Linked DNA regions of Canis lupus familiaris. The protein of the gene in region 2 interacts with the protein of the main gene of each other region in a pairwise test. Links are inferred from orthologs where the notes say so. Each region holds a gene or a part of one and is shown on either strand. Other genes may lie near its edges.

Region 1 (4,032 bases), on a different chromosome or scaffold from region 2:
ATGGGGGAGAGGGAAGAGGGTCGGGGGGATTTAAGGAAGTTGGATGTCAGGGCGCCTCGCTGGCTCTCAGTAGAGCCCGCAACGTTTGATCTCTGGGTGGTGAGTTCGAGCCCCACAGCGGGCGTAGGAAAGACCCTTTAATAGAAAATAAAGAAAAGAAAAAAAGAAAGGAAAGGAAAGGAAGAAAAGAAAAAAGAAAGAAAAGGAAAGAAAAGACGAAAGGAAAGGAAAGGAAAGAAAAAAGAAAAAAGAAAAGAAGAAAAGAAAAGAAAGGAAAGAAGAAAGGAAGAAAAAGAAAGAAAGAAAGGAAAAAAGGAAAGGAAGAAAGAAGGAAAAGGAAAGGAAAGCGAAAAAAAACGGGAAAGGAAAGAGGAAAATGAAAGGAAGAAAAAGGAACGGAAAAAAAAAAAGGAGGCAGGGAAAAGGAGAGGAAGAGGAAAGGAAAGGGGAGAAAGGAGGGCGGGAGGAAGGGAAAGGAGCGGGGGGAGGGGGGAGGGGGAGGAGAGGAGAGGAGAGGAAAGGGGAAAGGAGGGGAGGGGAGGAAAAAGGAAAGGAAAGGAAAGGAAAGAAGGAGGAGAGGAAAGGAAAGGAAAAAGGAAGAAAAGGAAAGGAAAGGAAAGGAGAGGAGAGGAAAGGGGAAAGGAGAGGAGAGGAAAGGGGAAAGGAGGGGAGGGGAGGGGAGGGGAGGGGAGGGGAGGGGAGAGGAGAGGAGAGGAGAGGAAAGGAAAGGAAAGGAAAAGGAAAGGAACCGTGGCAGAGACCCCGTGCCCGCTCCCCTCCCCGCCCGCCCCGGGTGGTCCAGGGGCGAGGACCGAGGCAGCGGTGTCGGGAGGGCCTCGCCGAGCACCCAGCGGCGGGTCCCGGGGGCGCGACCCGAGCCCCGCACGGCCGCCGCCGCCAGCCCTGCCCCCGCCCCGGGCGGCCCCGAGTTCGGCCGCGTCCCCGTGGCAACCAGGGCGGCTCTGCGGGCGGGCGGCTCCGGGACCCGGAGGCCCTAACGGCCGGGGCGGGCGGGCGGGCGCTGGCGGCGGGAGCGCGGGGGGGGCCCTGGGCGCGGCGGCGGGGGGGGGCGGCTCGGGCCTCCCGGGGAGCGCGGCGCGGCGCAGGTGAGCCCCCGGCCTGGGCACGGGCTCGGCGCGGCCCGCGGGGGCGGGGGCGGGGGCGGGGGCGGGGGCGACCCGGGGCCGGGCGGGGACCTCGCTTCCCGGTGCCTCGTTGCGCTGGCGCCCAAGTGAGCGGTGGGGAACCGGCGCAGTGAGATTAGCCTCGGTGCGTCCGTCCGGCCGGGCTGTGGTTCCGACGCCGCGGTCCTCGCCTCGCTGCTCCCCGAGCCTCTGGTCCTCGGTCTGGGAGGGCCGGAGCCCGCAGTCTCCCTCCTCCTCCTCCCTCTCGGAGGCTGTTTCGTTGACTTTGATGTAGTGACTCGGGAGTTGAAGTTCTCTTCGATCCTTCCATGTCATTTTTTAATTAACACTTTGTGGCTGGGATAAACGTGTTCCTCCTTCCTCTTTCTTGAAGGCAGGTACCAACATCCAGGTAAGCAGGTGCCCACAGAGCCATCGCAGAATTGTAAGATTTATATTTTTATAAACACTCTTAGCCTGTCTGTCCTAAATCTCATAGTATATTCGTTCTAACAAAACCCGGGAAGGGCCAAAGAAGGAGTTGACTCAAATACAAGGCAAACTTTTAGCAGACAAGAAAGTTTGAGAACATTTAGCTGTAACTCCCCTACCATAGGAATTCGGTTTTACTTATCTCGTGTGATGAGCACTTTGCAAAGTACCTGGCACCAGGGTGTTGTTCAGGAAATAGTGAATGACTGCTCATTTCAGCCAATACCATGGATTTCGACTCATAGCTAAACCAGTGTCCTAAATGCGTGGGGGAATTTTTTTAAAAGGCCCTAATTTTCTACATTTTGTAGCACCAAAAGCTGCTACACTTGGAGAAGCTCACACTACATGGTTTGCTGAGAGCAGAATTTTCTTGTTTTATAGGTTAATAAGTGTAAGTGTTTTAATGATCTAGATCATTTTTCCCCTAATAGATTAAAAATCAAGAAACAAACCAGATACAGCAATTTCTTGACATGGAGAACCAAGCCCATAATACAATGGGGTAAGTGCTGATTGAAAATTTTCTGTTTATTAAGTGGGCCCTTAACTATCCCCAAAACTCCCAGATGATACACAAATTTTGAAATTGAGCATTAATATGAAGGATGTATCAATTACTTTTGGTGAGGAAGATGGGGGGAGATTCAAGTGATTCTAATTAAGAACCTATGATATGAATCTTTCCAATTTTGACTATGGGTCAGTACCCAAAAATCATTATTTTCCAACTTTTAGGGAGTTTTTTTTTTTTGGTGTTTTAGGATGGTGGGTGCCCATACAGGCCTCCTGTGCTCTTGAGAGGAGCTCCCCTCAGTTTGCTCCTTTCTTGCTACATTGAGCGTTCCAGTCATGCCTCTTACATTTGCCCTTAAGGCTGAATTCAACACTTAAACACAGCCTCAGAACAGATTTGGCTCCCACAGAATCTTAACTACAGAGAACAAATGGACGGTCACCAGGGGACGAGTGAGTGATGGAATGGGTGAAATGCGTGATGGAGATTAACGAGTACACTTATCATGATGAGCACTGGGAGATGTATAGAATTGTTGAATCACTATATTGTACACCTGAAACTAATATAACACTGTATGTTAACTCTACTGGAATTCAAATTTAATAACTTAATAAAGTTAAAAGAAAAAGATTTGGCTCCTCAAACAACAATAAGAACTGGATATGTTACCAAAGTCTTCACCATTTGTAAAAAAATTAAACTCCCTTTTACAAATATCTGTCCCTACCCCAACTGGGGTTAGGGGGCAGGTGAGGGGCAAGGGGTAGTGAGTAGGGACAGTGGGTAGGAGTGGTGCTGTAGTGCCTAATCTTGACTATGACTGATTTGCACTCATCAAACCACTCCAAGTGTCTCCCTTTCAGTTATTCTGCTCAGACCATGACTTTGACATCAGGCTAAAGGAAAGCATCATAAATTTGGGTAAGAATAAGGTTGGTTTTGTAAATCTTGCTGCATACTCCTCCTTACAATATCTCAGCTAGGTATTGTTCTCTGTACAACCAAGAAAATCGAGTGTATTATAGTCTAAGGTCTTGTGACAAAGAGACCCCCAAATGATGACCCCAGTGGTTTAAATAAGAGTGAAGTTTATTTCTGTTTCATGAACAAGTTTTAGGATAAGCAGACCAGGACTGGGAGGGCAGCTCCGCTGCCTCTACATGATTTTTGTGTCTGGATCCAAAGTGAAGGCTTCAGCTTTTACCACCGTGCTCCTGCCAGAGGGAAGGGGGAAGGGCAAGAGGAGAGAGAATTTGGTTCTTTTTTGGAGAATGTGCCCTAGAAATAGCAGGACTCACTTCTAGTCATTTCCTACCGGCCAAGAAAGAAGGTTTGGGACCTGTGCTCTCTAACTGAGCAGCTCTGTGGCCAGCTAAAGCCTAGGCAATAAAAGAAAGAAGAATGGATATTGGCAGACAGGTAGCAGCCTCTGCCATGTTTCTGAGCTCAGAAAGATAGAAAGAAAGAGAAATAAAGTGGCAGCTTGCCCCAGAATATACAGCTGGTTAGTGGAAAGGTAGGATTTGAATTCAGATACGTGTAACTCTAATCCCTGAAGCTTTGCTCCACTGGAAATGAGTGGTAGTGAGATGTGGGTGCAGAATCAGGTTGGGATCCAGGATTGAGCAGGTGTTAGGTCCCTAATATGATGGTAGCAGTAGGGTCTGAGATGCAGATTGAAGGTCTTGGCCTTAAGGTTTGGTACCAGGAACCCCTTCACTCCTGCGAATCTGAGGCTGCGGAGACTGCTGTTTGTCTTCATTCATTCTTTTGGGGGAAAAGTGTAGACTATTGAATGCATGACAAGCACAACACTAAGTCTCTTGGTTTATACAAAGATCATTAAGAAACAGATCTTAAAGAACTTAGAATTTAGTAGGGAGCCATAGAGCTTGT
Region 2 (3,500 bases):
TGCCACTGTTGCCATTTCTAGACTGGTTGGTTGCCTCAGTTTCCTCTCATAAATCATCCCTAGGAGATTATCCCTAGTCAGTTTTCTAAACCATAGTGTTTGTAATATCCAGTCTACTTTATACATAGATGTATGCAGCTGCTCTCTGTATCCTTAGTGCCTTTCTAAGGTTTAAGAAATGGTGTTTAATATAAGTTATTAAAATCACATTGTAAAAATATATATTACTTAGTATTGTTACTGTATCTAAAGTATACATTAATCTCTTTTTCCCCCTTTTCCATGAAAAGAACTACAAATCTTTCCAGCAAGTTGATGGAGTTTAACTTAGGTACTGATAAACAGACTTTCTTGTCTAAGCTTATCAAATCCATTTTCATTTCCTATTTGGAGAACTATATTGAGGTGGAGACTGGATATTTGAAAAGTAGAAGTGCTATGATCCTACAGCGCTATTATGACTCAAAAAACCATCAAAAGAGATCCATTGGCACAGGAGGGTGAGTATTTTTATTAAATGTTGTAGTTGGGGATCCCTGGGTGGTGCAGCGGTTCGGCGCCTGCCTTTGGCCCAGGGCGCGATCCTGGAGACCCAGGATCGAATCCCACATCGGGCTCCTGGTGCATGGAGTCTGCTTCTCCCTCTGCCTGTGTCTCTGCCTCTCTCTCTCTCTCTCTCTCTCTCTGTGACTATCATAAAAAAAAAAAAAAATTTTTGTAGTTAAAAGTAAAGATTTTAAGAACTGTATTATATTCGGACAAAATTGTCAAATGTTGACAGTCATTGGAATTCTCTGTGAAGAACTCAATTAGCCCAGCTTATTTACACCATTGATCAAATCCTGTCACTTGAAACACATGTTGGAATGACCTAACATACTGCGATTAGAATTTAAAGCAGAATACTAGAACTATAAAGAGTTCGTATAGTCTCTTTTTTTTTCCAGACTGAGTAAATTATTCCACATTATTAACTAGGAAGCATACATTTTTTGTCATTGCAAGTGGAAAATAGCAGTTTACAGTGTAGATATCCTGAGCTTTTTCATGATTTGACTTAAAATTATTTAATTAATTCCTTAAAATCTGTGATTATTCACATACTAAAAGAAAAGGATTTGCGGAAGAATTGGTAGCACCTGTTATCCATATCTCAGCTGCCTAGAACCATTTGATTCTAAGATGAAGCAGAACGATTTATGTGGAGCCATATGATTAGAGTCCAGAGTATACTCAAATAAATCTGTTTCTTGTTTCCCAGTTTGTCATATACTAAATAATAATCAGGGAGAGGTTATAATTAGGAATAAGAAATGCCATCTGAAAGGCAGCAGCAAGTAAGGGAAGAGAAAAACTAAAGAATAATCATGAGAATTAAAAAAATAATTTGGGATACCTGGCTAGCTCAGTCAGTGGAGCATGCAACTCTTAGTCTCAGAGTTGTAAGTTTGAACACCTTGAATGTAAAGATTATTTAAAAAAAAAAAGAAAAGAAAAGAAAAAAAAAAACCGCAGGATGCCTGGGTGACTTAGCGGTTGAGAGGTTGAGGGTCTGCCTTTGGCTCAGGGCATGGTCCCAGTCCTGGGATCGAGTCCCACATTGGTCTCTCTGCAAGGAGCCTGCCTCTGCCTCTGTGTATGCCTCTGCCTCTCTCTCTGTGTCTTTGATGAATAAATAAATTTAAAAATCTTTTTTAAAAATTAAAAAAAATAAAAACCTTAGAAAAGTTTAGAATAGTCTAGAGTTAGGTATTCTAGGAACAAAAGAAATCTAACCTAAAGATACCACCATATAATAAATATTCAAAGTAACTCAGTCATTAAGAATGCTAAATTATGTTTAATATATCTTGCTTAATAATGATAAGGAAATGTGAATATGCTCAAATAGTTAAATGTATTTAAAAAGCATTAAATTTTTAAAGTTTATTGCAAGCAGGACCGTTTAGTTATATTAATTTACTTGTAATAATCCACTTAATAAGGAAATAAAACAAGGAATTTTTGGCTGTTGAGTCAGAATTATAGAGTCATAATTATAAATTATTATTTTAAAGGTCATAACTCCAAATATACTCCTTTTTCAGACGAAAGTCTTCTGCTAAGAGATTGCTTTGCTTTTACAGGACTAAATTATTGGAATTAGAATGTTTGAGTTTGGCAATTAGTCCATTTTTCTTTGTTGATGTATACTAAATTGAAGAGTACTTAAAATTGAAATCTGTGTAAAATGTTCTCTTTTCATTTGTTGTTATGATGCATTAGTATTCAGGATTTGAAAGAGAGAATTAGACAACGTACCAACTTACCGCTGGGGCCAAGTATCGATACTCATGGAGAAACTTTCCTATCTCAAGAAGTGGTGGTTAATCTTTTACAAGAAACTAAACAGGCCTTTGAAAGATGTCATAGGGTAAGAGTAGTTATAAATTTATTTCATTTTTATGTAGTTGTGTATTTTAATTTTCGCCTTGTTATAATATAAATCTGCTCTCTGGACAGGAACAGCTAACCATTACATTTTTTGTAATTAGATGGAGTTTTTGTTTTGGAGAACAGAATTATTTTAAAATTATAAGTATATTTTAATATTATTTTATAAGTTGAATATTCCCAATTTTTCTTCTGTAAGTTATATTAAATCAAGATATAAAAGGGAGATTTAGAGCTATCTCATAAAGAAATAGAAATAATAGGGAAAGAAGGATGTTTTAAGAACCCAAATATCAAAGGAAAAGAATGAGAAGTTGACTCCAGTAAAATTTAGAATTTCTGTCCAACAAACACTTGAACAAAGTAAGGAGATAAGTCACAGCCTGCGAGAAGATATTTGTAACCAATATTACTAGCAGAAAATTATGTAAAACAAATAATAGTGGCAAATAATTGTATAGTACATACAACGTTCCAAAGCACTTTAGGTATACACCAACTCATATAATCATTGTAACAATCTTGAGAGGTTTTGATTCCATTTTACAGAGAAAAAACTGAGATACATACATCTTAAGCAGTGGAACTGAGAGTGGAGGCAGTCTTAATTTTTTTTGTATTGATATTATATATTTTATATTGATGGACAATAAATCCATATGAATTATACAAATAAACAATATAAATTATACATACAAATTATACATATAAATCAATAGAAAACAAAGACTAATAAATGTACATAGTAGGTTCTCATTAGATGTGGTAGCCAAGAGTGAGGGCTCTGGAGTCAGCCAGAGGTGGACCCAAAACCCAGCTCTTCTGTTTACTGTGGCCAATGACCTAATGTCTATAAAACTCAGATTCCTTACCTACAAAGAGGAGATAATATATGCAGGTTATTTTGGAATAAGTTATGAAAGGTTATTTTGATATACATAGACAAATACAGAAAATGTAAATTATTAATAAGATATCCAGTCTCACTAATAGGAAAATGAAACTTAAAATAGGGAAAATACTCAGTCTCATTCAGATTGCAAAAATTAAGAAGTCTGATAATACAC
Region 3 (4,156 bases), on a different chromosome or scaffold from region 2:
CATCATCCTCATTTTGCAGAAAAGACTGCGGATCTGGGAAATCAAGGGACGTGCCCAGCCGTGGGTCATCAGTAAGTGGAAGATCAGGGATTCGCAGCCGGGTCTTTCTGAAAATGAGACATGTGTGAACTGCCATACGGTTTTCCAAGGAAGTGTCCCGTCGCCGAGGCAAAGCCAGCTTCTGAAAGCTCCTCCTGCCGAGAGCCTGAGCTTCCTTTGGGTAAACTGAGGCAGGGCCGTCACCTGAGCCACCGGAAGCACCGAGCCTGGGGCCCACGATGCTTTCGTGGGGACCCGCAGAAATGTCTTCAGTGCTTTGAAAGTCAGGAAGGAAAGATGAATTTCCAGGTTAAAGAAAGTGTCGTGCGGTGTGACATTAAAACATCCCTCTCCACGCCAACGTAGCTGTAAAACGCTAACAATAGGAACACAGAAGTACAGGAACAGGCGATCCCCGTAACCGTCTCCGCAGGCACAGGCGGGCGTTGGGGTCCCCCGAGGGCCGCCCGCCGCCGGCTGCGCAGGGCCTTCCGGGAGGGTGGCAGGCCGGAGGCGCCGGGGTGCTGGGGTGCTCGGGCCCCGCGTCCCAGGGCCCCTCGGAGGGCAGAGGCGACCCACAACGGGAAGCGCCACGTTCCGGCTGCTGGATCCCGGGCCCCCGGCTCGATCGACGCGAGCCTCAGTTTCGCCATCGGTACAATGGGGCCAAGAGCCTCCTGCGGCTGCGGGACGGGGACGCGTGCCCTCGGGCCCCGCTGCGGGCGGGCGCAGCAGACTGTGCCCGGCGTGGGGCGCGCGGCGCGGGCGTGTCCGGCAGGCGGGGGCGGGGGGGCGGGGGCCGGGGCCGGGGCCGGGGCGCCGGGAGCCGCAGGGTCCACCGAGCGCCGAGCCCGGCCCGCCCCGCCCCGGCCCGGCCCGCCCCCAGCAGGTGCCGCGCGCGCCTGCGCAGGAGCGCCCCTGGGAAGCGGGCGCCGGCCGCTGCGCCTGCGCACAAGCGCCGCCCTCCGCCCCTCCAGGCGCCGCCGCCCGCGGGGCGGGTCTCGGCGGCCGCGCGGCGAGTCCCGAGGGCCGCGGCGGGGAAGGGGCGTGGCCAGCAGGCCGGGCCGGCCGCCGTCTTCCGGGCCCCGCCGGCTGCGCGCGCAGCCTCCTCCCCCCGCTTCTTTTGTGGTCCGGCCCATTGCGAGGGTGACAGGAAACCCTGTGCAGGGAGCGCCGCCATCTTGGACCTGCCCGAGGAGATCCTGAGGGAGCCGCGGAGCCGTCGCCGCCGCCCCCGCCGCTGCCGCCGGCGCGCCTGCACCTCGTCGGCCAGCCCGCCGCCCCCGGGGCCCCGGCCGCCCGCCCGCCCGCCCGCCCGCCCGCGCCGCCCGCCGCGCCCGCTTCCTCGTCCTGACGCCCCCCGCCCGCCCGGAAAGCTGCCCAGCCACCAGCAACCCCCCAGGTGAGCCGGGCCTTCCGCAGCGTCCGTCGGGCCGCGGCCGCCTGGCGCGGGGGCGGGGGGCGGGGGCGGGGGCGCCGCGGGCGGGCCGGCCGGGGGGCGGGGGCGGCGGGGGCGCGGGCGAGGGCGCGGGCGAGGGCGTGTGCGGCCGGCCGCCGCCGCCCCCGCGAGCCCGGACGTGGAGCCCCGGCCCCGGCGCCGGCCCGCGTGGGCCCGGGCACAAAGGCGGCAGCTGGAGGCCTCGCCGGCGCGGCGGGGCTCGGTGTCCTTGTCGGCGGGGCCGCGGCGGAGGGCCGGGGCGGTGAGGGCCCTGAGGGCCGGGGAGGCTGAGGGCCGCGGCTGCTGAGGGCCGGGGCGGCCCGGACGGCGCCGAGCTTGGGTGGCGTCGGCCCGCCGTGAAGGCGACAAAAAGTTGTGGGTTTTGAGCGTTTCTGGGACTGGAGGGGAGACGGCGGAGCAGGGAGCCCGTCGCCGGTGGCCCTGGCTGCCGACTGCGCCGGCTCCGCTTGGCCCGGTCGGGCCCGGGCTGGGGGCTGCGAGGTCCGCGTCCCCGTCCCCGCCCCCGGCGCCCCCCGCCGCGAGCCCCCGCGCCCTCCGGCCTCGCCGCCTCACCTGCAGGGCGGGTGTAAGGTCAGTCGTTGCTTGCAGAGGAGGGAAGGCGGTCGCGGGAGGCCGCGGGAGGCTCCTCTAAAGCCGAACGGCCCCAGATTCTTGAGGCTCAAGCGACGTCTTTCAAGTCTCTGCTTCTGACGACCCAGCCCGGGCCCGTCCCGCCGCGAGCGTCTTTACGTAACCGCGGTAGGAGAGGGCTCCGCGGGAGCGGCCTCGGCCCAGGCAGGACGCCGGAGCCCGGGACGTCTGGTGCGGCCGAGACACGCCTGCGCGCGGACGGGCTGCGCCTCGGAACTTGAGGGCGTAGCTTCCAGCGTGTGCGGGGGGGTCCCGGGAGTGTCGGGGTCGCCCCCCCCCCCCCCGCCACGTTGCTTTGAGGACCGTTCCCTTCAGACATCACGTTTCATCAGTGAAACTTTGGCCGTTTCTGGCCCTCTTAGTGCTTGTAGTAAAGTAGGTGCGGGCCCCTGGCTGGTTCTTGCCCTTGAAGCACGGCTGCGGCGCCCAAGCACTTTCTTCCTAGGCTGCGGCCATGACGGCAGAACTGCCCTGCTCGTGGCACAGTAGAAACCCGGCTCTTTTTCTTGTATTAGTTGATGCAAAGATGTGACATTGACTGTCCTGCCAAGAGTGAGTTTTTTAAAGTGGAGGTCAGAATGGGTGGGCTCTTCTCCGAGGTTGCGTTACTGCTGAGACCGCGCATTCGGATTCCCCGAGCACAGCACCGGTCTACACTGTGTCCCCGGCACAGCCTGTTAGCGAGTCCGACCGCCGCTAAGTCTCCGGGAGGCGGGCGCGACGCTCCTCTTGGTCGCTCCTGCCTTGTCAAAGCCTCACGCAGACTCTGTGCTTCGCAGATGCTCAACAAGGATTTCCGTGTTGGGATCACAGTGCTTTTGGGCGCTCGGTCCAGTTCTGTGTCTATAACGAGATGTCTTACGTGTAGCAAAACCCCAAACCAAGCTTAGTAATGTTAATAATGAGGATCAGAATGTAAATCACCTGGAATCTTTGTGGGTTGTTTTTGTCCTGTGTTGTCTTGAATAAGTTATGTAAAAATTACATCGTAGCATCGTTCGTCCTAAGAAGTAGAATAAAATAGCCGTTTAATGGTTGTGAGAGGATTAGTCAGACGTAGTGCCTGAGTGAACACAGTAAAAGCCAAGGTATTAAAAAAGAAAAAATGCTGTCAATTTTCGGAGTGTGTTTTTTGAGGCCGATCATATGATTGACTTTCCCCATATTATTATGAATTTCCCCATATTATTGTAAATGTGTAAGTAATGTTGGAACTATTATGAATGGGAGTTGTTTTATTTTTGGAAAATATTTATTCTAGAGAGATTGAAGGCATGTGAGTAGGGCTGGGGCTGGGGCTGGGGCAGAGGGAGAGAAAATCTTCAAGCCGACTCCTGAGATGATGACCTGGGCCAAAGTCCAGAGTTGACCACTTAACTGAATGGGCCACCCAGGCGCTGCTTGTTTTTGTTGATTCTTGTTTGTTTTGTATTAGAATAGTTCTTTATCTACTTTGAATACTTTAGAATATCACCAGTGAATATAGCACATGCTTACACTGTTAATAGAGTTATATAAAGTTAATAATTTCTCCCTATCCTTTTTCTTCTCAGTCCACATACTCATTTTTCACAATTTGGTGTGTATCCTTCCATATTATCTGTATACAGGTTTGAGGGAGAGTGTGTGTATGTGTGTGTGTTTAAAAATGGGATATGCCACTGCATAAAATTCTATCAACTTTTTTTTTTCCACTTAAAAATCATGGATATATTTTTAAGTTTATTATCCATCTCTGAATGGTTTTTAAACTAGAAGCATGTTATTTCATGATACTTTAGTCATTTCCCTGTTGATAGAAGTATAGATTGTTTCCAGTTTTTTTGGTTTTGGGTTTTGTTTTGTTTGCTGTATAAGTACTGCATTAGATGCAGTTGGACCTATAACCTTATGGATTGAAGATCTTGTATCTGTAGGCTACTTCTTGGTCACAGTTGATTGGGATTATCTTTAAGATTTTAAAATATATTGTTTACTTCCCAAAAAAATGTGGCAATTCAGACTCTTGTAAGCAGAGTGTATGAAAGG
Region 4 (3,500 bases), on a different chromosome or scaffold from region 2:
TAAGGTTATAAAGTATAAGTCAGTCATGGGCTGTATAGCCATAATATTAGCTGCTAGCCCAGCTCTTCATCACCACAGAAGTGTTTTTTCACAGACAGCTCATCCCAGGTAGGTTTAGTGAGCTACTTACTTTGCCAGCCTCCCAGTACAGATAGTATTGACTTCTCCAGCAAATTCATTCAAAATTATTGCTACACAATACTAAAATTCATGGAAACTCAATAGCTATAATATGGATAGAGTTTTTGGTTTTTGTTTGGTTTGGTTTCATTTTATTTTATTTATCTTTTCCTCTTTTCCCCTTAATCTTTGGTGTCTATCAAGTTTCTTTTTGGGCCTACAGTGCTTTTCCTTCCCTTTTATTTCTCTTGAATATTTATCCATTCAAATATTAGAAACAATCACCACCTCATTCCTGACCAAGTTGCAAGTCTGTTACTGGGCATCCCTTCAGGATGGCACCCAGGTATTTTATGCAGCCCCCATATGTCAGTACTCTAACAGTGGTCAGGTAGATCTGGTTCTCATGTGCCATAGCCACTTCCAAGCTTAGGCTTTAAAATGAATGTTTAAAAAAAAATAAAAATAAAATGAATGGTTTGCTTCAGGGGTTTTGTGAAAGAGCCTTATTGTCTCTTTCAGAGTAGGAACTGTGTGTGTGTTCTGTTTAAAACAGTGAGTGCTTCTTATCAACTCACTATTGGAGAATGAAAGGCTACAGTAAATTACATTTCCATTGACTTTAACCCATGATTTTATTTGTTTAAGTCTGTAAGTGTTTTTTTAATGTTCTGAAATTAAATATCTTGTTCTTTTTCTTTTTCAGTCAAAGATGACTCAAATCATACAATAGGAGTGGAATTTGGTTCAAAGATAATAAATGTTGGTGGTAAATATGTAAAGTTACAGATATGGGATACAGCAGGCCAAGAACGATTCAGGTAGCTTTCTCTCTAATTTAATAAAAATATTTGAAAATTGGATTTGAAATAATCAATTATAGTCTCTTCATATATATAGTCTCCTCCTCCCCTGCACACATTTCAAAAACTTCACCTCTGGAAGCTTTAACACAAGCTAAAAGTCTCTTTGCAGCATTAGAAAAATGCATTAGAATCTCTTTTGAGTGAACACACCCTAATGTAGAGGCTAATTTATTCTTTGGGACTAGTGAGTACATTAGGAGGATGTGGCATTGCTTATTCTACAGAATACTTTTAGATTAAAATTAAGGCAAACAAATAGTAAAACCGTTTTTCTCTTTGATTTTTATTTTTATTTTTTTAAAGATTTATTCATTTATTCAGGGGGGTGGGACAGAGACACAGACAGAGGGAGAAGCAGGCTCCATGCAGGGAGCCTGACTTGGGACTCCATCCCAGGTCTCCAGGATCACACTCCAGGCTGTAGGCGGCGCTAAACCACTGCGCCACCGGGGCTGCCCTTCTCTGATTTTTAAAGGAGAATTTTTAAAATCTCTTTTGGGGTTTTCTTTTGTTTTATATTAACTAGAGCATGTTCTGATGGTTGATATACATTCCACCAGATACTCTCTCCTGCACAGTTTTATTATACTGCAGTCATAATCAATGTTTGGAGCGATGACCCCAGATCACTGCAGATGAGGTTACATGTTTAATAGACTGTAATTACTAAAGCAAGAAAATGGATTAATATTCTAGTTGTGTTTTTTGAACAAATACACAAAATCAAAAAAGAACAGATATTCACAGGTTTAAATTTTTTTTAAGAGAGTTTTTTTTTTTTTTAAGATTTTATTTATTTATTCATGAGAGACACAGAGAGAAAGAGAGAGGCAGAGACACAGGCAGAGGGAGAAGCAGGCTCCATGCAGGGAGCCCGACGTGGGACTCGATCCTGGGTCTCCAGGATCAGGCCCTGGGCTGAAGGCGGCGCTAAACCGCTGAGCCACCAGGGCTGCCCCACAGTTTTAAATTTTAGTTAAGTAAAACTCACTCTCACTTATAGCATTAAAATCAGGTATATATTATATTTGAAATGTTCAATAACTATTTGCTTTGAAAATTTTTAAATATGAAAACCACTCTGGAACCACTGATTGAACATTGTGGATTCAGTCCAGACTTAAATGTTTTCTAATCCTCCCTGAAATGATTATAAAACAACATAACTCACAAAGACCCAGAAAGGGAGACTCCATAATTACGATGAAGAGATTTCAGAGCTATGTTAGAGATAAGATGTGAATGGTGACTGCCTGAGTGCTGAGGGAGCTGCATCTTAAGTATCTGTGAAGGGGGAAGGCCAGTGAGCTGGAGGTCAGTTCTTCTGCATCCTGGAAGAGGTCAGGATGTGGAAGAATTAGGTTCTGCAGGAGGAAGGGTGAAGGTGTTTACATATGTGTGTGCACACACCCACGTTGTGAGAAGTTCAGTATCTGAGTTGAAACAGGGTCAAGACACAAAGTCCAAAGGCACAGCAGCAGAGGACAGGGATGAAGGAAGGACTGAAAAGAGGGACGTTAGTGCAAGTCTGTGACTCCTGACCCACCCCCACAACCCCACAACACACACACCCTGGTTGCTGGCAGCCAGGGGTATACATACTCTCAGGAGAAACAGTTTCTCTCTACGGAAAAATGAAGAGCTCCAGAGGAAAGGTCTAAATATACTAATGTATTAGCTTCCCCAGTAAAAGAGCCCAATCTCTGGAATTTTCTACCAAAGAAATGAGATCCCAGATATATTGGGCCCACCTTACACCAAATACAAATGAATGGGGGGAAATCTCACTTATTTATGTCATGTAAAATTTCAAGAGGACAAAGATGAAGTAAAGATGCAAAAAGATCCTAAGAAGGAAAACCAGTCACTTTGAAGGATAGAAAGAGGAATTGCATTTTACCATTCAATAGCAACTTCAGGAAGCTAGAAGATACTGAAGCCTTGCCTTTCTAACTCAGCATGAAAAGTTCCTTTCCAACCTTAAATACTCAACTTAGCCAAACTATCAATCAAATGTGAGAATAAAGTCAGAAAACCTTTAGATATTCTAGAATAGGGGAAACAAAGTTTATCTTTCACATATTCTTTCTTAGAAACTTCAGGAGGATATACTTCTTCAATATAAGGAGGTAAAGCCTGAAAGAGGACGATGCAGTCCAGCCAGATGGCCCCGGCTAGGGAGAAGAGAAAGGACAAGTGTCACAGGGTGGCCCTCAGGAGAGGGTGCAGCTGACAGGAGGAGGAGGAGATGGAGGGAGGGGCCTGGGAGGGTGTGAGCGAGCTAGATTCTTATCAAAGCAGGTAAGCAGAGAGCCCTGAAACTCAAAGAGTTTCATAAGCATTTTATAGAAATATGGAAGCATATACCAAAAAAATGAAACTAAGTTCCACGAAAGTAGGGATGTTTTTATTTTTTTGTTCTCCAAAGCCCAGAGTAGAATCTAGCACATAGATATTCAGCGTGTATTGTGTTAATAACTTCATTCAGGGGAAAAAATAAAATTCGAAGGCCTT
Region 5 (3,500 bases), on a different chromosome or scaffold from region 2:
GAAAGAAACGTATGCTAACATTTATATTCTTGTAGAATATTTAATGTGCAGGATTCTTTTCTGTTTCCCCCTCCATGACTAAACCTAAAATATGTCGGCCTAAGCTAGCAAGAGCCATAAATATATTAATACCTAATGAGTTAGTAGTTTAGAAATTATCCTAATGCCTCTGAAGGTAAAAGTCCTATTTGCAAAATGTTGTTTATAGTATTACTTATACTAGCAAAAAGTTGGAAATAGTCCAGATATTTTCTTTTAGAAGAATGGCCTAATAAATTATATGTCAATGCAATTAAATATTATGAAGTGATTTAAATTTTTATATTTATATCGACTGTGTGCAGTGTGCCAAGTACTTCATACGTTTATCTCATTGAATTCTCGCAACAACCCTTTGAGTTAGGTTGTGTTAACTAATTTTCACATGGGAAAACTGAGGCTTGGTAAGGTTAAGTAACTTGCCTAGCCCACATGGTATAAATCAGAGCGTGCTTTGAAGTGAGGCGGTCCTAGGTAAGTGTTCTGATCCTCTGCCACTTACTAACTGAAAAATGGTGACATCAGCTGCTTTTCAGGCTTAGTGATTATAGACGTGCCTCACGTGGCACCTGACACAACATTTTTTTTCTTTTCTTCTTCTGGCTCAATTGGGGTCAGGTTCTCCCCCACCCCACCCCCAATCCTGAAAAAGTAGTATTGTGTATCACTAGCAACACAGCCCTAGAGACTAAATCCTGATAAATGTTTCCTATCTCATCACGTAAAAAGAATAATATCTTGAACTGTTTACTTTTGGAGATTTGGGGTGGGGATTTGTAACTTAAAAAGTCAATTGTTTTTTTTTTTTTTTGTTCTAGTGTTTCCTATTGCTTCTATTACTATATATTATCTAATCTGTGATTAAGTCTTTGTACCACTAAGAAGGAAAAACTACTTGATTCTAATGGTGATAGGCATATTGATTTCAGAGATGTAAGAATGTAGAAAATGGGTATCCTGGAAGTGATGGAACACTGTTTTCTCCTATAAACTCTGCTTGTATCACTATGAGCGTGACCTTTGTGGCCTTTGTTCCCTCCATTAGCTTTGGTATGGCATACGACTTTATTGATTCTGTGGGAAATGATGTGGACGTTGTCTCTGACTCTGAAGTAAGTGTCCTTGTTGGGAAATGTAATTGGGGTGTTTATGTTAGGGATTTATAACATGCTTTGTTGTATAGTCTTGAAAAATTACTGATGAAATAAGATTCAACCGTCTGATTATCAAATACCTTTTTTGTTAGTAAAGTAATGCCCTGCTACATCTTTCAAGAAGGAAGGAGTGATGCCCAAAACACTGGCAGTGGTGATGTTAATATTGATAGTTGTGTTTTAATGGTAGCAATTATAAATTATTGTAATGTTTGGGGTGATTTATATAATATTACCAGTTGAAAACAAGAAATGATACTTACAGCAAATCAGTTGCTCCTTAGTTGGTAATTTTATCCAATATGCTAAAAACTTAAGTCAGTGCAAAAGTGACCTATACACACTTAATTTTAGGAAATTCTATTGTGTTAAAATACATCTTTGACCTTCATTTGCATTAACACGGAATGGCTGGTAAAATGTAGGTGATCCTGATTTTATTTTTAAAATTTTTTTTAGGGCAGCCCGGGTGGCTTAGCAGTTTAGCGCCACTTTCAGCCTAGAGCGTTATCCTCGAGTCCTGGGATCGAGTCCCACATCGGGCTCCCTGCATGGAGCCTGCTTCTCCCTCTGTCTGTGTCTCTGCCCCTCTCTCTCTCTCTCTCTGTCTCTGTCTCTCTGTCTGTCTCTCGTGAGTAAATAAATAAAATCTTTTAAAAATAAATAAAATAAAAATTTTAAAGATTTTATTTATTTATTTGAGAGAGAGAAAGGGAGCCAGGGGCAGGGACGGGGGTGTAGGGCCTGGTGCAGAAGCAGACTCTCCACTGAGCAGGGAGCCTGATGCAGAGCCTGGGCCCTGGGACTCTGGGATCATGACCTGAGCCAAAGGCAGGTGCTTAACTGACTGAGCCACTTGGGTAATTCTGGTTTTAAAGTTTTGTTTTCCATGAGTTTGTATTTAGCTCTTTGTGTGAAATATAGTTTGTATAACCTTAGGGAAATAAAGTTTATTGTGCTTTAAAATTAAATGAAGTTAAAATTTGAAAGTGTTCAAGCTACCCTAAAAAGATCTTTTTAACTGTTTTTCCTTTTAATTTTTTAAAGAACATAAAAAAGCTCCTGAAGATTCCCTACAGCAAGTCCCATGTAAGCATGGCTGTACACCGCATAGGAAGGACTCTCTTACTCGATGAGTTAGATATTCAAGAACTCTTTATGAGATCATCTCAGGTAATGCTTTTTCTGGAAAAACAACTAGTAACCCACTTTTTTAACAACTTAAGGGCACTAGAAATATTGTTTCTAAGAAAGGCTGAAGCAGAAACACAGTTTAGCACTTTGGCAACTGAGAAATGAGACATTTCTTGGAATATAAAGAAGCCTTAATAGGAAATAGAAAAGAGTGAATGAGGAAGAAACTTATTTTATAACCAACAGCCAGGATTCTTGCAAGGAAGAGGATGAAACCAATGAAGAAAGTTGTGAAAAATCAGTAACTTAAGGGAATAGTTAAAATTTTTTAAAAATCCTTTGATGTCTCCATTGAAGAGATTCTCATGAAACAATTGCCAGGAAATGTGAAAATATTAGAGGTTATTTCTATGAATACATAGTTATTAGAATTAAGTGATTCACTAAAAGCAAAGCTTCTCAAACTGTATTTTGGTACATGACTCCCCACCCCCCATGTATTGATAGTGGATACTTTTTGTCAAGTGTAAAGGCAGTGTTGCAGTTTTTTGAGGCTTATTCCCTGTTTCTGTATGTATCCTTGGCACTGGTCAAGCTCTTGAAATGTGATAATGAGTAAATCACAGTCCTTGTTTGCTGGCAGCTTAAAGTCTTGGCATTGTAAACAATCACAGATAATATCAATATGGTATGCATATTAGGGTTTATTCCAGGTACTAAGGAATGTGTTAGACCACTTCTCAGCCTGGCTTGGGGAGAAGAGGAAGACAGATTTCCCAAAAGAGGTAATAGAGATTAAGTCTAGAAAGACAGTGTTTACATATGTGTTTATGAAATAGTATTTTTTAAAAAAAGAATATTTCCTGTAAAAGAGTAGAGGATAACCAATTGTTTTGATTACAGATTTGTTGTATTTATCATTTTCTTTTGTTACTCAGACGGGTGATTGGACGTGGCTGAAAGAGTTTTATCAAAGACTCATTGATCAGAAGTGGCAGAGGAAGAAAAAGAGCAAAGAGCACTGGTATCAGAAGGCTATTCTTTCCAAGTTTTTATATTACAGGTAGTTGGCTGCTTGTTTATTTTTTTTTATCTTAAGGAAAATGAAATTGTGATCTCAAATTTAATTCTTAAGCTAGTAAAAGTAATTTCAGTTTTGCAAGTATGGTATTA
Region 6 (3,453 bases), on a different chromosome or scaffold from region 2:
CTGGATGGCAACAAGAGGGTGCAGGAAGCAGCCTGCAGGTGACTCTCGACCCCTGCCCCCACAGCCCCCACCCCTGCCCCCACTGGCTGCCTTCTGGGAAGTGATGACACTCATGACCCTTGACATCCTGCTGATTTCTGACGTATTCGTACTGGCTGATCCCAAGTGCATGTCCTCCCCGCACCCCTCAACCCCCCACCCCAGGGCCCAGCCCCACTTGTGACCACCCACTAAACCCCTTCCCCACTCCAGTGCCTTCGCCACCCTGGAGGAGGAGGCCTGCACAGAGCTAGTGCCCTACCTCAGCTATATCCTGGACACCCTTGTCTTTGCCTTCGGCAAGTACCAGCACAAGAACCTGCTCATCCTCTACGATGCCATCGGCACCTTGGCTGACTCTGTGGGCCACCACCTCAACCAGCCGGTGAGACCCCACAGCATCTCCCTCTCTTGATCCCCCTGCCCCTCTGCATCCAGTGACCTGGCGGCGACGCCGTGTCGCACGCCAGGGACATGGCCGTGACCTCAACAGGCAGACAGACAGACCTGGCCCCCGCCCTCGCCCTGCTCCCAGTCTAGCGGGGGAGACAAACAGTTATGAAACAGCGTGGTAAGTGCTGTGCTGGGGAAGCTCAGGGGCCTGCGGGAACCAGGAGTGCTGACCCCCAGGCTCTGAGGGGGTGGAGCAGGGTGGGGCGGGGCTAGGGACTGGTGAGAAGGGAATGGACCAGAAGGGCCTGGAGGTCCGGCTGGATGGCAAGGCCTTGTAGGGCCCCATGAGCCACCGAGATGCTCAGACCTCATCACTCAGGCAGTAGGCGCCTCTGTGTCATGGGGAGCCCTGCTGGTGCCAAGCTGCCACCCCCCACCCAGGGAGCCCCAACTTCTTGCTCCCTCTCTAGGAATACATCCAGAAGCTGATGCCTCCGCTGATCCAGAAGTGGAATGAGCTCAAGGATGAAGACAAGGACCTTTTCCCTCTGCTGGAGGTGGGTGGGCTCCAGGCCCTTTCCCAGAGCCCTGCCCCGTCCTTCCTGAGTTCACCTCTCCTGCCCTCCTCCCAACCAGTGCCTGTCATCGGTGGCCACTGCCCTGCAGAGCGGCTTCCTGCCCTACTGCGAGCCGGTCTACCAACGCTGTGTCACTCTGGTGCAGAAGACTCTGGCCCAGGCCATGGTGAGCATCCCACCACCAATACCCACCCCTGCTGCCCCGCTCCTCTGTAGCTGCCCGTAACCTGGGTCCCCTCGCCTTAACCTGCTTGCCTGCCCCATCTGTGCCCAGATGTACACCCAGCACCCTGAGCAGTATGAGGCCCCTGACAAGGACTTCATGATCGTGGCCCTGGACCTGCTCAGCGGCCTGGCTGAGGGCCTGGGCGGCCATGTGGAACAGCTGGTGGCCCGTAGCAACATCATGACGCTGCTCTTCCAGTGCATGCAGGTGGGTGGGCCCCTCGCAAGCTCTCTCGTTGCAGTGAAGACATAGCAGCCTGTGCAGATCACCCTGGGATGACTCAGGGCCCTGGTTGTGACTGAAGGAAATCAGGAGAAAGGGACCCATGGGGGGAGGAGGGGAGCCTATATTTATTTTAAAAAGTGATTCCAGTAAGATATGAATAAAGTCTCATTAAATGAGCTAACGACGTAGAAAATTAAACAGAGAAACAAGGGGCGCCTAGCTGGCTCGGTGGAGCATGGGACTCTTGATCTCAGGGTGGTGAGTTCTAACCCCATGCTGGGTATAGAGATTACTTAAAAAATGTGGGGGGGGGGATATGAAAGCATAAGCTCCTCCAACTTTACACACACCCATGCACCCAGTGTATCGGGATGGGCCGCAGTTAGGCCTGCTCCCTGCTGTGGTGGTACCCTGACCAAGGCCCTGTGGTTCACTGTGTCCCAGGTTTATAGATGGGCCCCATGACAGGAAGTGTGCCAGGGTCAGGCTGTGCTCTGGGGCCCGCACCCCTAGCTGCCCTGCCTGAGGGATTACTCAGGATCCCAGCTGGTTGGGGGGCGGGGAGCCTTGCCACACTGACCCTGCTCTGACCCCTCAGGACTCCATGCCAGAGGTTCGGCAGAGCTCCTTTGCCCTCCTGGGAGATCTCACCAAAGCCTGCTTCATCCATGTCAAGCCCTGTATCGGTATGGAACCGTCTTCTCCTCACCCCGCGACCCCAGCTCTGGCCTCAAATGATGGAAAAAGATGACTTTGGGAGGATAATGACCAAACTGGATTGTATTCGTACTGTCTGATGGGGTCTGCCCGGCCAGGTCCAGGAGCTCACCCTGGCTTGCCCTCCTGCTCAGCACTCCTTTTTCTCCCCACCAGCCGAGTTTATGCCCATCCTGGGCACCAACCTGAACCCTGAGTTCATCTCTGTGTGCAACAATGCCACCTGGGCCATCGGCGAGATCTGCATGCAGATGGGTGAGTGCCCTGCAAGCTGACAGGCCCTACACCCACCCACCCCCACCCCCACCCCCCCTCCTGTTCCTTCCTGGGGGCAAGACCCTGGCTGTGACTGACCGGTCCCCTTAAGAGAGCCCTGGTGCTGCTTGAGTATTGCAGCAGTTGGTGATGCAAAGAAGCCATTTCTGAGTACTTTCGCGGGGATGCTGCCAAATGCTTGGAAAAGGCATCTAGGATAGGGGTTTCTAAAGAGGCGGAATCAGGAGGCCTGTTCAGATTGGATTGTTCCTGACCTACTCCCCTCCCTGCCATGCACTTGGCTGAAAGGTCCGCTGGGATTGGTTGGGAGAATTTGGCCGCCTCCCTCCCCATCTACCCCCCCCCCCCCGGGCCCCATGGAATCTGGGTAATGTGGTCTAACCCTGCTGTTGAGCATGACTCCAAGGAAGCTTCTGGTGTCTGGAAGGTGTGGGCCTGTCCCTGGTTGGCCATGGGTCCAGAGCTGGGCACCAGCCGGAGAATGAGTTTTGTTCTCTCACTGGTTTCAGTTGGCCAGTGTCTGGGTGCAACTGGGGTCAGCATGGATGGTATGGGCCCTGCGGGGCTCTAACTAACTGGTCCCCCAGGGGCAGAGATGCAGCCCTACGTGCAGATGGTCCTCAACAACCTGGTGGAGATCATCAACCGGCCCAACACACCCAAGACGCTGCTGGAAAACACAGGTGGGCACCAGGCCTGAGCAGCTGCTGTCCCCTTACCTGGAATTGGGGTTCCCAGCTGGGAGGGGGGTGGTGAAGAGACCTCGGGAAAGAACAAGGGAAGGTGTCTGGGAAGAGCACCAGGGAAGCTGCTGGCCTCAGGGGAGTCCCTGGTAGGGCCTATTCCCTTGGGGCCCACGGGGCGGGGCTGGTGCCTCATGCCAGAGGCCCCGCCACGTACCGTCCCGGGGCCGCTCGGGGTTGCAGGTCGCCTGACGAGTCCCTCTGCCATTCCAGCCATCACCATCGGCCGCCTGGGCTATGTGTGCCCTCAGGAGGT

Evidence for each region.
Region 1: the proteins of EXOC5 (region 2) and DEUP1 interact in binary tests that used the Homo sapiens proteins (3 or more experiments, as listed by UniProt). The two-hybrid records come from large-scale screens. The link is inferred for Canis lupus familiaris from reciprocal best matches to the Homo sapiens genes EXOC5 and DEUP1.
Region 3: the proteins of EXOC5 (region 2) and RAB14 interact in binary tests that used the Homo sapiens proteins (3 or more experiments, as listed by UniProt). The two-hybrid records come from large-scale screens. The link is inferred for Canis lupus familiaris from reciprocal best matches to the Homo sapiens genes EXOC5 and RAB14.
Region 4: the proteins of EXOC5 (region 2) and RAB4A interact in binary tests that used the Homo sapiens proteins (3 or more experiments, as listed by UniProt). The two-hybrid records come from large-scale screens. The link is inferred for Canis lupus familiaris from reciprocal best matches to the Homo sapiens genes EXOC5 and RAB4A.
Region 5: the proteins of EXOC5 (region 2) and EDRF1 interact in binary tests that used the Homo sapiens proteins (3 or more experiments, as listed by UniProt). The two-hybrid records come from large-scale screens. The link is inferred for Canis lupus familiaris from reciprocal best matches to the Homo sapiens genes EXOC5 and EDRF1.
Region 6: the proteins of EXOC5 (region 2) and TNPO2 interact in binary tests that used the Homo sapiens proteins (3 or more experiments, as listed by UniProt). The two-hybrid records come from large-scale screens. The link is inferred for Canis lupus familiaris from reciprocal best matches to the Homo sapiens genes EXOC5 and TNPO2.

Annotation. Positions count from the first base shown.
Region 1 is NC_049242.1:7,409,803-7,413,834, reverse strand, and holds the start of DEUP1 (deuterosome assembly protein 1), read left to right. Parts: upstream 1-1,232; 5' UTR 1,233-1,536; intron 1,537-2,050; 5' UTR 2,051-2,092; coding exon 2,093-2,121; intron 2,122-4,032. UniProt on the Homo sapiens protein: Key structural component of the deuterosome, a structure that promotes de novo centriole amplification in multiciliated cells.
Region 2 is NC_049229.1:33,112,153-33,115,652, reverse strand, and holds part of EXOC5 (exocyst complex component 5), read left to right. Parts: intron 1-290; coding exon 291-500; intron 501-2,265; coding exon 2,266-2,413; intron 2,414-3,500. UniProt on the Homo sapiens protein: Component of the exocyst complex involved in the docking of exocytic vesicles with fusion sites on the plasma membrane.
Region 3 is NC_049232.1:74,592,241-74,596,396, reverse strand, and holds the start of RAB14 (ras-related protein Rab-14), read left to right. Parts: upstream 1-1,356; 5' UTR 1,357-1,441; intron 1,442-2,050; exon of another isoform or gene 2,051-2,343; intron 2,344-4,156.
Region 4 is NC_049225.1:10,334,192-10,337,691, reverse strand, and holds part of RAB4A (ras-related protein Rab-4A), read left to right. Parts: exon of another isoform or gene 1-108; intron 109-826; coding exon 827-941; intron 942-3,500. UniProt on the Homo sapiens protein: The small GTPases Rab are key regulators of intracellular membrane trafficking, from the formation of transport vesicles to their fusion with membranes.
Region 5 is NC_049249.1:35,257,724-35,261,223, forward strand, and holds part of EDRF1 (erythroid differentiation-related factor 1), read left to right. Parts: intron 1-1,084; coding exon 1,085-1,151; intron 1,152-2,240; coding exon 2,241-2,366; intron 2,367-3,265; coding exon 3,266-3,390; intron 3,391-3,500. UniProt on the Homo sapiens protein: Transcription factor involved in erythroid differentiation. Involved in transcriptional activation of the globin gene.
Region 6 is NC_049241.1:49,816,342-49,819,794, forward strand, and holds part of TNPO2 (transportin-2), read left to right. Parts: coding exon 1-38; intron 39-94; exon of another isoform or gene 95-164; intron 165-252; coding exon 253-424; intron 425-902; coding exon 903-989; intron 990-1,068; coding exon 1,069-1,176; intron 1,177-1,284; coding exon 1,285-1,443; intron 1,444-2,059; coding exon 2,060-2,147; intron 2,148-2,334; coding exon 2,335-2,433; intron 2,434-3,041; coding exon 3,042-3,137; intron 3,138-3,380; coding exon 3,381-3,453. UniProt on the Homo sapiens protein: Probably functions in nuclear protein import as nuclear transport receptor. Serves as receptor for nuclear localization signals (NLS) in cargo substrates.